Linked DNA regions of Drosophila melanogaster. The protein of the gene in region 1 interacts with the protein of each later gene in a pairwise test. Each region holds a gene or a part of one and is shown on either strand. Other genes may lie near its edges.

The links.
Region 2: the proteins of bab1 (region 1) and CG17612 interact in a two-hybrid assay, tested with the Drosophila melanogaster proteins (one large-scale study listed by BioGRID).

The regions. Positions count from the first base shown.
Region 1 is NT_037436.4:1,096,488-1,105,154, reverse strand, and holds the start of bab1 (bric a brac 1), read left to right. Parts: upstream 1-4,065; 5' UTR 4,066-4,518; coding exon 4,519-6,054; intron 6,055-8,667. UniProt on the Drosophila melanogaster protein: Probably acts as a transcriptional regulator. Required for the specification of the tarsal segment. Also involved in antenna development.
Region 2 is NT_033779.5:4,380,165-4,384,421, reverse strand, and holds CG17612 (uncharacterized protein), read left to right. Parts: upstream 1-1,686; 5' UTR 1,687-1,725; intron 1,726-1,760; exon of another isoform or gene 1,761-1,778; 5' UTR 1,779-1,782; coding exon 1,783-3,639; 3' UTR 3,640-3,700; downstream 3,701-4,257. Other genes in the region: Vps53 (vacuolar protein sorting 53), read left to right, coding at 1-337, 400-1,285.

The DNA.
Region 1 (8,667 bases):
CTTGTGATTTTGAATTAGTTGTGATTATTTTCTATGTTAGCATTTTTTGCTCTGCATCTATTCCTAGATCAGGCGTAGGACTAGTCCTCGTCCTCGTGCTCATCCTTTGGCAAATCCTCGTGCGCGTCCTCCGTCTCGTTCTCGTTCTCGTTCTCGTTCTCGGCCGGCTGTCTATCTGTTTGTGTCTGTGGCATGCACCCCTCTACCTGATCCCCGACTGCTCAATCGTGGCCGTCAGCCCCATGTGCCCCATCTGCCCCATTCTGGGGCATGGCATCCAGAGCCCCCTCCTCGATTCGTTTCCCAATCAGACAGCCAGCGGCATCGTTAGCAACGCAACGCAACGCAACGAAACGCGACTCTCGGAGCTCGCCTGCATTTCCAAGTTCCAAGTTTCGTTGCAACCCCGATGGTCAGCAGCTCGGACTTCCACGTCCACTCCTGCCGCCAATCCACCGACTCTAAAACCCTCACACCCCAAACCTTGCATGGTGACTCCCTTTTTAAGCCCTTTTTCATTGCCCATACGCCCTCAAGGGGGTTTTATTGCGCTAGGCATTTTTGCATATTTGAGGCATCATCGCTCATCGCTTTTGTGTGTAAGCCAACTTTCAGACATGGTCGAAGGTAAAACCAGCGGCAGGAGCAGGAAAGCAGCGAAGCAGCAGCTGAGGACGAAGAATCAGCAAAGGGCTAACCCTTGTGCCACCCATTTTCTGCATTCTCTAAGCTGCAACGTCGCCGTTGTCGCTGTTCCTGTTGCTGTTGCACTCTTCTATTTGGCGTTTTAATATGCAACATTTTTTCCCGCTGATCTCCCCGCCGGCGATGCCCCATCCCCATACTCTTTCCCCTCCCCAGTACCCATTTTACCCCTTATGTGTACGTTTGGTCACCTCCATGGTCGCAGCATTTCTCACTGAGAACAAAAAGCAGCGAGATCTCGTACCACATCACTTCTTTGGCTACATTAAAAATGTCGAATTTATTGTACTATTAAAAGGGCCTTCCTTTTTTGAAATAATTTCATAAATGCTCACTCTTTTCTTAACAATTAATACTAAGACTTTAAATTGCATTACCGCGCAGCTGAGATCAACTAAGTCAGTTACTGCATTGTAAGCTTATACATTTTGACAACCAGAAGCCTAGGTTTTCTGCCAGTGCATTCACACTCATGGCAACCGTTTTATTTGTTTGTTTGCTTGTTCGTTCACTCATGTGTGTGGGTCAGACGGCGACCTCTCACCCCCTCCGCAACTTTGTCTGTTTGGCTCAAATGTTGTCATCTTTCCCCGCACACACACTCCACCCCACAGAGCCACCGGCCCACCCATTTTTGGCCTTTCGCAGAGGCTTTCGTCGCTTTTTTGGACATCAGCATCCAGTGGATTCCATCCCACGAACCGGCGTCCACATCTCCACAGCTCCGATGTCCTTTCACGTCCGCGTCATCGTTTTGCTCGTCAGCGTCGTCGTCACCAGTTAAATACATAAATTTTCGTATAAACGCGTTCTGCAGTCGCGAGCCTAGCAGCCATTTCCCAATTTTCCATTTCCCAGCGCCCGCCCCCTTCCCTCTTTTCCACTTTATAGCGGGCAACACAACAGCAAACAACTTAGAGAATGCGTGATGCATTTTCGTGTTGCTGCGTTTGATCCAAATTCTGTTGGCTGCAATTCATTGGTTGCTATAAACACAGTGTTATCTAATTGCATATGGTTTTTAGGGGGAAAATAAGCAGAACTATCTGCAAAGGGTCCTAAGTGGTGCAAGCATTACCACATATAGTATATATAATATATATAGTATAATAGAAAAACAATCAGTTTTATTATTAATTTATCCAATACATAAAAACCATATTCAGTTACCTGAATTCATTCAAAATACTCAAAAGCCTAAAAAGCCCGAATAACTTATGAATTAATAGCACACACACTCATTAAATAGTAGAGATACAAAGTCCAAAACTATTTCAAGGGCTGGCCATTAGAGTAGGCAAAAGTATCACTTAGCGTCATTAAATCACCGGATACGAGTGAATGAAGGCATTAAAAGACTCATTCAGAGATGCCAGATGAATACTGAATATAATCCGATCGATGGATACCTGCCGATCGCGTATTTGTGCCCCTTTATCGCGATTCGCGATTCGATTCATGGCCGATGTTTATTATAATGTAACCAAAATGAAAAGCAGCCGCCATTTGCCAGTCACGAAAAAATTATGCATAATTTATGACTGGCTGTAGTGGACCCCTCTCGCCACCTCTCGCTCACTCACCTTGATATGTAGCTTCGTCCCGCTCGCACTTGCAAGAATTTATTATTTTTGCTAGATTTGTGTTTTTTTTTTATTTTATGTTTCGCATATTATAAATGCGCAAGGCAATAACAAAAATAATCATAAACACATACACGGAATCACCCACACAGAGGCAAAAAACCGAGGCTGACCAGTCTGAAACGATAGTGCCCCGCCCTCCGCCCCTTCGGCCACTCGGCACCCCCCCAAATGCCCATCACCACTACTCATGAAGAGAGCGAGAAAAACTAGTGGAAAACTGCAGGTGCAGCTGAAAGAAAGAGAAACGTCTCTTAGGCGAAAAGCGCCAGCCAACTCTCTCGCGAAAGAGAGAGAGCCAATTCGCCGCACATCTTGATTTCGCCTAAGCATTTGTTTACAATGCACGACTGGCAGCGACGTCGACTGCGAAGAGAGTTTTTCGTGATGGTTTTTCGAAGGGGGGGCTGTGTGGGGTACACCTCGAACGGAACTAATTAATGAAGCATCTTTCAGCCGAGTTTTGTTTCTCAGTCGGATGAGGTGGAATGCGTGAGGGAGAAAGAGTAATGGCTTGGGAAGAATAGAAAGAGAGAGGAATGTGCTTCGAAAGACCTAATGATCACTAATCTGCACTTCTCGCAAAATGCTCATACTACAAATGTTACAAGCAATTCATACATATGAATATCGATTTCCAATATTCTAAAAATAATTAAAATATTTTATTTAATAATTTTCAATTTTTTCAATTTTTTCACTTAAATTTAAGCTTTTAAAAGAACCCTAATAAGATATATAATATCCATCACCTAAATAATCGGCAAACTCAGCACTATTTTCGCCGCATTCCCAATTCCTGAAGACCACCTAGATGTGTTCCTCTATTTTGTGCCAGGGGTACTGGTCGATGGGGCTCGTCCACACCCTCTCCTGCCAAGCACCTCCGAAAAATATTAGGCCTAAGCTCGAATCCGCACTCGCACTCGCACTCACAATCGCAATCGCAATCGCAATCGCCGTCGCTCTCCGCTGCATTTTCGGGGCAACTTCCGTTTCCTCACGCACGCACACTTGCCACTTGCCACTTGCAGCGACGCATCCTTTTTACGCAACGGTAGTTGTGCGGCGGCAAAGCGCCAAAATTTTGGGGGTTGCAACGGCGAGAGGCCGAGAACGAGGACGAGGACGAGTTCGAGTGCGTCGAGCAGGCCGACGAAGGACGAAGGACGAAGGACGAGCGAAGCCGATTCCGATGTTGAGCTCGAGGAGAGCCAAAACGCAGCGCAGGAGCAAAGGAATGCGGTGCCGTTAGCCGGCGTTTTTTGGCGCCTACAGCTCGCCGTTTTCAGCCATTTTCAACGGGCTCGCCGCTGCTTCGGTCGTTGTCTCTGCCGTCGGTTCTCAGCCAAGCGGCGCTGCCTACGTCGCATTTTCCTTTCGCAGCGCCGGCAGAGCAGTTCGCGAACTATTCGCAACTTCGTCGCGAACTCAGTCGCAGCCTGAGAGCAACAACTACAAAGCAGTAGCAGTAGCAGTTGCTGCTGATGTTGCTGTTGCTGCCGCTTCTGCTGTTGCCGTTGCCGTTGCTGCAACATCAACGTTGCCCCTCAGCTTTCCACAGGCACAGGCACAGGCACTGCCACAGCCACAGCCACAGCCGCACATCCACATCCACATCCACGTCGTCGTGGGCCATCGTCGTCGTCGTGTGTTAAGTTTGTTTTGAGTTTTTCCGTATCAAAATGTGCAAAACGATTTCAGTCTAATTCAGACGCTCGTGCTGAGAAGACTTTTGGCCCTGTTTGTTGGCCAATACAGCCATAGAACACTGAAACCGAAACAGAAACAGAAACGGAACTGAAAGCACACACTGAATAACACTGGACACGACGACGAGAACCGAATCGAACTGAAAGAACGAGGCGGCGGGCTAATTGCCAAATGGCCACGTAGTGCGCGTAACGTAACGAATACGTTAAACACCCATACACACACGCCCAGACACACACACACACACACACACACACAGAGAGACAGAGGCACGCACACAGATACGCACATGTACATGCCCACTCTCAGTTGAGCGTCGTAATTGTCGCGGATTCTTTTGAATGCTTATTCCTTAAACGCTATGTGAAGAGCGAATCGCGTAACGAATAACGATCGCGTAACGTTTACGATCGCCGGTGATCCAACGATCAACGATCAACGATCAGCTGCAGACAAAATGGCGTCGGCGCAGGCGGAGACGAATGTCGGCTTGGCGTCCGAACAGGGACCAGTGGCTCAGAGGCAGCGCAAAGGGACGGGATCGGGCGCCGATTCGCCCAAGAGTAACAGAAGCTCGCCCACTCAGCAGGAGGAGAAGCGTATCAAAAGCGAGGATCGCACTTCACCAACTGGCGGGGCCAAGGACGAGGACAAGGAGAGTCAAGGTCATGCTGTAGCCGGAGGGGGAGGATCTTCGCCCGTCAGTTCGCCACAGGGCAGGAGTTCTTCGGTAGCCTCGCCCAGTTCCAGCTCCCAGCAATTCTGCCTGCGCTGGAACAACTATCAGACGAACCTGACCACCATCTTTGACCAGCTGCTCCAGAACGAGTGCTTCGTGGACGTGACCTTGGCATGCGATGGTCGGTCCATGAAGGCCCACAAGATGGTCCTGTCCGCCTGCTCGCCCTACTTCCAAACACTTCTGGCCGAAACGCCCTGCCAGCATCCCATTGTGATCATGCGGGACGTAAATTGGTCGGATCTCAAGGCCATTGTGGAGTTCATGTATCGCGGCGAGATCAACGTGAGCCAGGACCAGATAGGTCCTCTGCTCAGGATAGCTGAGATGTTGAAAGTGCGTGGTCTGGCGGATGTGACCCATATGGAGGCGGCCACGGCAGCAGCGGCTGCCGCTTCGTCGGAGAGAATGCCCTCCTCGCCCAAGGAGAGCACTTCAACTTCCAGAACTGAACACGACAGGGAACGGGAGGCCGAGGAGCTGCTGGCCTTCATGCAGCCCGAGAAGAAGCTACGCACTTCGGACTGGGATCCCGCTGAGCTGAGGCTCTCCCCACTGGAGCGGCAGCAGGGCAGGAATGTAAGAAAGCGCCGGTGGCCATCGGCGGACACAATATTCAATCCACCCGCACCACCCAGTCCACTGAGCAGCCTGATTGCGGCCGAAAGGATGGAGCTGGAGCAAAAGGAAAGAGAGAGACAGAGGGACTGTTCGCTGATGACACCCCCACCCAAACCACCAATGAGCAGTGGCTCCACAGTGGGAGCCACGAGGCGCCTGGAGACCGCCATCCACGCCCTGGACATGCCATCGCCGGCTGCCACGCCAGGACCTCTGTCCCGATCGTCGAGACCTCACTCGCAGAGCCCCCAGCAGCAGCAGGCACAGCAGCAGGGTCAGCTTCCTTTGCCCCTGCCCCTGCATCCGCACCATCACGCATCACCCGCCCCACATCCCTCCCAGACCGCCGGATCAGCCCACCACCCGGCATCGCCTGCTGGAGATTCCCGTTTTCCCCTCGGCCCAGCAGCCGCCATGGCCGCTGCCAGGGAACTGAGTGGCCTGGGACCAGGTCCGTCCGCCGAGCCACGCCTTCCGCCTCCACCGCCGCACCACCATGGCGGTGGTGGAGTGGGCGGCGGGGGAGTTGGAGGAGGAGGTGCAGGCGGAGTGGGTTCAGGCGGGGGATCCTCGCTCGCCGATGACTTGGAGATCAAGCCAGGGATCGCCGAGATGATCCGAGAGGAAGAAAGGGTGAGTGAATCTAAGCAACTTAAATTTCACGTTTATCTTTGTATTTCATCTTCCTTAAAGATAACTTTCGTACTTTTGTTTTCAATTATTCATATGTTGTGAATCGTTTTCTAAGTTAGTACATATGCCAGTTAAGAGAAGACTCTTCAATTCTGCAATTCCAATTCTACAAAAAGAGAGGCAGAGAGAGAGAGAGAGAGAAGCGCGCGGTGGAGCTCTCTTCTGCTGCTGCAGCGCTGTCACTGCGCTGTCGCAGCGCTGCTTCCGTCTATATCTCTCTCCCATTCATTATCCGATCTTTTGCCTCGGTTTGTTTTGATTCACGATTCGCGCGCCTTTCGGCGATCTTCAATCTTCGGCTGCGAATTCTGCCGGCGGCATTTCGCCTCGTGTCGTGACGTCACAGCGCGGAATGCGGAGCTACGGTCGCAGCGCTCTGTGGAACTCCCCACCCCACCGCCAGAGTGGCCATTGCCCGGAATGATTGACAGCATTCACGTGCTCCACGTTCCACGTTCCATTGTTTGCTCTCCTCGGCCGCTCTTTCTTCCCGCAGAGATTTGCTCCACATAGTATTTAGTACCCCTTCTCAGGTCAGATCCACCGATTCTTGGGTTCTCGGGGAGCAGGCACCGGAACGCTTCGGTGACCAAGAGGTGATTGAAATTCCTGTGGCCTGCGGTTGATTTCGATCTATGGAGCATTTTGTGACTTGTTGTGGTTCCCTAAGTGTGCTTCAATTAGGGCAACGACGGAATGGGTCTGCACAGAAAATATCTGGGGCTAAAATCGATAGATTCATTATTTGGATTTTTTATGTATTTTTCTCTTTCTGAGATTGAATCATTATGATTGCATAAAAATATATTTTAAATTTTGAAATGCTGATATTGAAAATTAAAAAAAAAATATTAAATATTGATCTTAAGATGCGCTTGCAATATACATATGAAGATATCTATAGTCCTAATGCGGCTTTGCTTCATAATTATATTTCAATAAGTTCACTCCAAACATTGTATCTGAATATTTACGACTATTAAAGTAAGCTGGTAGTTTTTGTCAGCTTAGCTTAGCGACCGGTTCGATTTGGACTGCGACTGCATTAGCACCGAGCTCACCGCAGAATTCGCACTTTAATAAAAATTTGTATTTATTTATCCAATAGACGTCGACGACGTTCACTCAAGAGCCCAGATCTCTGGCGATGGAGCTCCATTCACCATTCAGAGTCACATGCATTCGATGAGGAGTTGCCCGGTCCGGGATCAATCGGAATGCGATATTTGTTTGTCTGGGCGCAGAAGAGATCCCAGTGCGACTCCTTTTCTGGCCGGTTCTTGGCCATGTTCCATGTTCCGTGTTCCGTGTTTATTGTCGCTTTCGAGTGCATTAATCAAATAGCCAGCTATGCACACATGTGCATGTGCATTAGCCTGCTCATGTGCTCAATTTTTGAAGCCGTCTGTCTGTCGGTCTGTCGGTCTGTTTGCCTCTGATCGCCGCGGCGTTGGCTCGTTAGCGTCTCTTTTCAATAAATATTTTGTTTTTATGCTTTTTTAAATATTTTCCCAACTGACCGTTTGCTTTGCTTTTTATGTGCTTAGAAATTCTTTGGAAAATGCATCTGCATCTGCATCTGCATCTGAATCTGAATCCGCCGCGGCATCTGTATCTGCATCTTTGTTTGTTTGCCTGGGTATTAGTGTTGCCGGCCGTGTTTATGCTTTCCCGCTGTTTGCCTTTTCGATTGTTCTCCTCATTTCCCCATCACCGTCATATATTTCCCAACGTTTATTCACACATTTCATTTATTATTAAAAACTGATGCATTTTTCGTTGCTTCGCGGCAATCGCAGCAAGGCAACGCCACAGATACACCCGAAAAAAATGTGCAAACCTTTGTAATTTCGATATATACAAAATATGAGTATGAAATTCTGCCTAGCCAATGAGCATTATGTTTTGAAATTATAACTCCATTGTTTAGCACACATGAAAATATATCCACGTTCATTTCGATACAGGTATTCACTTTTCCACGTGTAAAAGTCAAATATTGATGGGCTGCATCCTCGGCCAGCGATTCACCAGCTTCTTTAATATTTATAATTCCTTCCATTTATATTTATATGTTTGTGTGGATGCACCTCGACTTACTCCACCTCCTCCGCTCCCCGCCATAAGCAGATAAAGCCGATAAGTGTCAGTCGTCGTGGTCCAGGGGTCTCAGTTCTGAATGTCTGGGCCCCTCGGTTTCTGGTGATTAATTGCACTTTTATTTGTCTGCCTTCGCCTTTGTTAAAAATCATTTTTTCTCCTTTACGCATTTTTTGTTCTTCGGTTTTTCATATTTTATTGCCAGCGCATTTAGATTGTGTATGCGAGTGAGCATCATTAGAGGTTGTATATTATTATTGGTTTCCTCTCCAGCTTCTCGATCAGTTCACTGAACTTTTTGCAGATCGTGGGCGCAGAGGAAGTTTTTATTAGGCCCAATAAGACGAATGAAAAACTTCTAAAGGGGAATGAATACTGAGTGATTTTATGAAAATCAACTATGTAGATTGGGATTATTATTCGTATTATTCTTGAAATTCCATCAACATCTTA
Region 2 (4,257 bases), on another chromosome or scaffold:
AATATCTACGGGAGTACGCCTCCAAAGTGCTCGAGGGCAGCACACCCAAGCTTGTGCCAGCCACCACTAGCAGCTCGATCGGTAAAAGTGTTTCGTTACTCACGCGCGATATGCAGAATCTATCAACGGCCGCTGGTCAGGTGTTTCACAATTTCCTCAAAGAGGGCGATACGCAGCGATTTGCAAGAGATGATCTGGTGCGCATTTGTTGCGTTCTGACCACGGGTGAGTACTGTTTGGAGACGGTCCAACAGCTGGAGGATAAACTGAAGGAAAAGGTGACTTCTGCATATGTCAGCAAGATTGACATGAGCGAGGAAAAGGATGTCTTTCATAGGTGAGTAAAAATTTTTGCTATCAAATAATCAAATAGTTTATTAATATTTGTAACTTTTCTAGAATCATTTCCAACTGCATCCAACTTTTGGTCCAAGATCTAGAGGCTGGCTGCGAAGCTTCGCTGCAGGCGATGGCCAAGGTGCAGTGGCAACACATTAACAACGTGGGCGACCAGAGCGCCTTCATCAGCAGCCTGTGCGGTAACTTTAAGCAGACAGTGCCTACCATCAGGGACACGCTAGCCAGTTCGCGGAAGTATTTCACCCAGTTCTGCCATCGCTTCGTCGCCGCCTTCATACCGAAGTTCATCAATGTGCTCTATCGCTGCAAACTAACCCTCTCGGATGGTTCCAACAATGTTCTGGGCTGCGAGCAACTCTTGTTGGACACCCATTCGCTAAAGACGGCTTTATTAGAGCTACCTTCCGTGGGATCGAGTGTGAACCGCAAGGCGCCCACCAGTTACACCAAAGTTGTGGTCAAGGACATGACTCGGGCCGAGATGATCATCAAGGTGGTGATGACGCCGGTACAGCCGCCGGCGCACTTCACTCAGCAAGTGCTTAAGCTGCTGCCAGACATTACCATTGCGGAGTACCAAAAGATTCTGGATATGAAGGCGGTCAAACGTGTGGATCAACTGCAACTGATTGATCTTTTCAAGCACACGGCATCTGCAGCGGCTGTGAGTGGCTTAATAGAGCCAACTACTGGAGAGGAGGAGACCCAAGGTGCAGAAACAGTAGTCGCAACTTCGGGGACCACAGACGATGCTGAAACCTCAGCAGTACCAACTGAAACAACAACGGCAACTTCCTCAACCCCCAAACGAGCCTTTATCTTCAGCGTGGGCAGCTTTACGGGAAGCGCAGATAAAAATGCCGATGGAAGTTCCCAGACGGGCATCAGAAAGCTGGAAAACCTACTGAAAAAGCGCTTCCCCTAGTTAATATACGGCTACATCTTGAGAAATCATTCCACTAAGTTAGCTTTAGTTTGACAATATCGGTTAATGATTAGTTGCTTAATTTATTAGGTCTATCCGGTTTATATGGTTGGTATGTTTTAAGACAGCTATGGAACATTCGATTTTGTATTATTCGCAATCCATCCGCCTATTTTAAATATTTTTTATTAAATGTCTGGCTTCTGTTAAACAAAATGGAAAACGTTTGTTTTTGTTTGCTATGGAAAGCACCTGGTATTTATTGCAAAGATAAAGTAAATACGTACATACATGAATTTGTAAAATTTGTTTCGTAAAGGGTATATTTTAGTTATAACAGTCGATTACAGCGTTTGATATCGATAAGCGCTCGATAACAATACGCTGAAAACAGGGTTGCCCGTTGTTGATAGCCCTGAAAATTGTAAACAAACGACTAGGTAAGCCACAAAAATCATTTTAACCAACGTTTTATACGATTAAATGATTCCAGGGCGATGGAGAACGTGTGTCAGTGCTGCAAGGTACGACCGGGCTTGTCGGTCAAACGCGGTGGCTCGCTTCCGAAAACCCTTTGCCTGCAGTGCCTGCATATGGACACATTTGGCACCAAGCATAAGGGACCAAGGCCCGAAACCCAAATTAACGACAAGGTTCACTTAGAAATGTCCATAAACGGCGAAGACGGCCTGCCGGAGCATCCTTTATATCCAGAAGTGCAACTGGTAGTTAAGGAGGAGGACGCTCTAATTAAGAAGAAGGTTATCGAGGAAAACCACATACATAATGAGGAGATCATAGGAGCGAGCAACATAGTAGACGTAGAGGTTCATGAGAATCATCGCGCAAATAACGACGTGATCCTCATACAGGATTCCTTCGCTGAGGAGGTAATTCTTGAGGATCATCCCGCAAATAACGACGTGATCATCATACAGGATTCCGTCGCTGAGGAGGAGCTCCCCGTAATTAAGGAGGAGGCTATTGAAGGGGAGGACTTGCAGGGAGAATACTTTATAATAACAGAATGTCTGGAAGAGCCAGCAATCGGAAGCTGTCGCGTTTGCTTGGAACAGTCTGACAACTTAACCAATATATTTGATGACGCGCATCAGTACGGAATTCCGATTGCCACGATACTCTCTCAGTACACAGGAATGCCAGTTGAGAAAGGCGATTCATTTTCTGAATATATCTGTGTAACTTGTCTGGATGTTGTGAAAAATGCATTCGATGATTTAGAGTCTAAAGAAAATACTATCCAGATGTACCGACAACCTAAAGAGGAGATCATTGACATAGATTCAATTCCAGTAAAAAACAAGCCAGTTGATTATGAAGTTACTGGGAAGCCACCTCACAGATGCCCTCAGTGCCCAAAGATATTCTTACTCGCCGCCAAACTTCAAGCTCACATTCGGACTCATAATGAAACGCGTACCACCGAGCCTCCACGGCTGAAATGTCCCATGTGTCCAAGTATATATATGAAACGCGGATGTCTTGAAGCCCATATGTGGATTCATAGGGCCTCTGATGAAAGAGAATCAGAGTTGGAGCCTCCGTACAGGTGCCCTCACTGTCCAAAACTGTTCCTTTACTCCAGCTTTCTTGAAATTCACATTCAGACACATGAGGATGTCTCTCAGAGACTGTCTCGGAAGTCATCGCACAAGTGCGCGCAGTGTGCAGATGTATTCTCAGACGTGTCCAGCCTTAAAGACCACGTAAAAATCCACGCGGGGGAACGAACGTTCAAATGTCCCCTCTGCCTGATGTCCTTTCAAGAAGAAAGTAACCTAAAGAGTCACGATTGTGCTCACACTCGTTTCAAGTGCCACAAGTGTTCCAAGTTTTTCGAAAGTCAGAATTATCTAGATTTTCACTTCAAGAAAAGTCACACGACGAAAGGTCCGTTCAAGTGCATAAAGTGCCAGCAAACTTTTCAAAAAAGAAACGGTCTTAAAGAACACATCAGTTCGCAGGTTTGCGTACAATTTCTCCGGAGTAAGTCTCCTGGACAAATATTCCCTTGTCCCAAATGCCCGAAAAAATTTAGCATAGAAGACAATTATCAAATGCACCACGCCACTCACAAGAAAGTAAAGACTGTTATCGAGAGGCACAACTGTACACAGTGCAAAAAGTCCTATCAAAATAAAAAACTTCTTACCAAGCACATTTTGAGTCACAACCGGTGTGTCCACTGCTCGATGTCCTTTACGAGCAAATATCTTCTGGAGCAGCACACTTGTTCCCAGAGTTACCAATTAAATGGGAGCAGGGGTCGCAAAAATCCTAATTTGAACTACAACGAATGCGAGGAGTCCAACGAAAGTGATTTGGAACCATAGCATAAATATTATAATATCTATATAAGAAAACCCCCACAAGCAAATAAACAGAACCAGTTTGAATTTGTATTTTGTTACTTCATTTATTGTATGTTTGACTTCTTAGCTTTTAAACATAAACTTATTTGACTATGTTGAAAGTTGGATTCTCATGTTTATGTTCGCGTTCATGGTACTAATGACTTATGCGTTCGCTTAGGCAACTAACTACGTGCTACAACTTAAACTAGGTTTGCGGTCGCTGCGGCTGCTCCGAATTTAACACTATTTACATGCAACTTATGGTCTAAGTGATTTTGAGCGTATGGTCTAGTTTGAAGATCTTTTGAAAGTGATCGCATCGCGCGCAATAATACAAATCTCTAAACAAAAGACTTAAGACACAAACTTAGGCGTACTTTAATGGATGAATTGTATGAGCTCTCAATGTATTTCTATGCGTAATTATGCTTTGGTTTAATTCCAGCACTGCAAAAACCTAAACAAATCGAATATGACTATGACGCAGTGGCCCAGCGGACGGCATTCCAAGGCCAGTTAGCGCCTGCCGGCCAACATCGCCCGAAGCTGCCGCTGAGACTGAACAGGCTAGACTACGCTAGGCTAGAGGGGATTTAC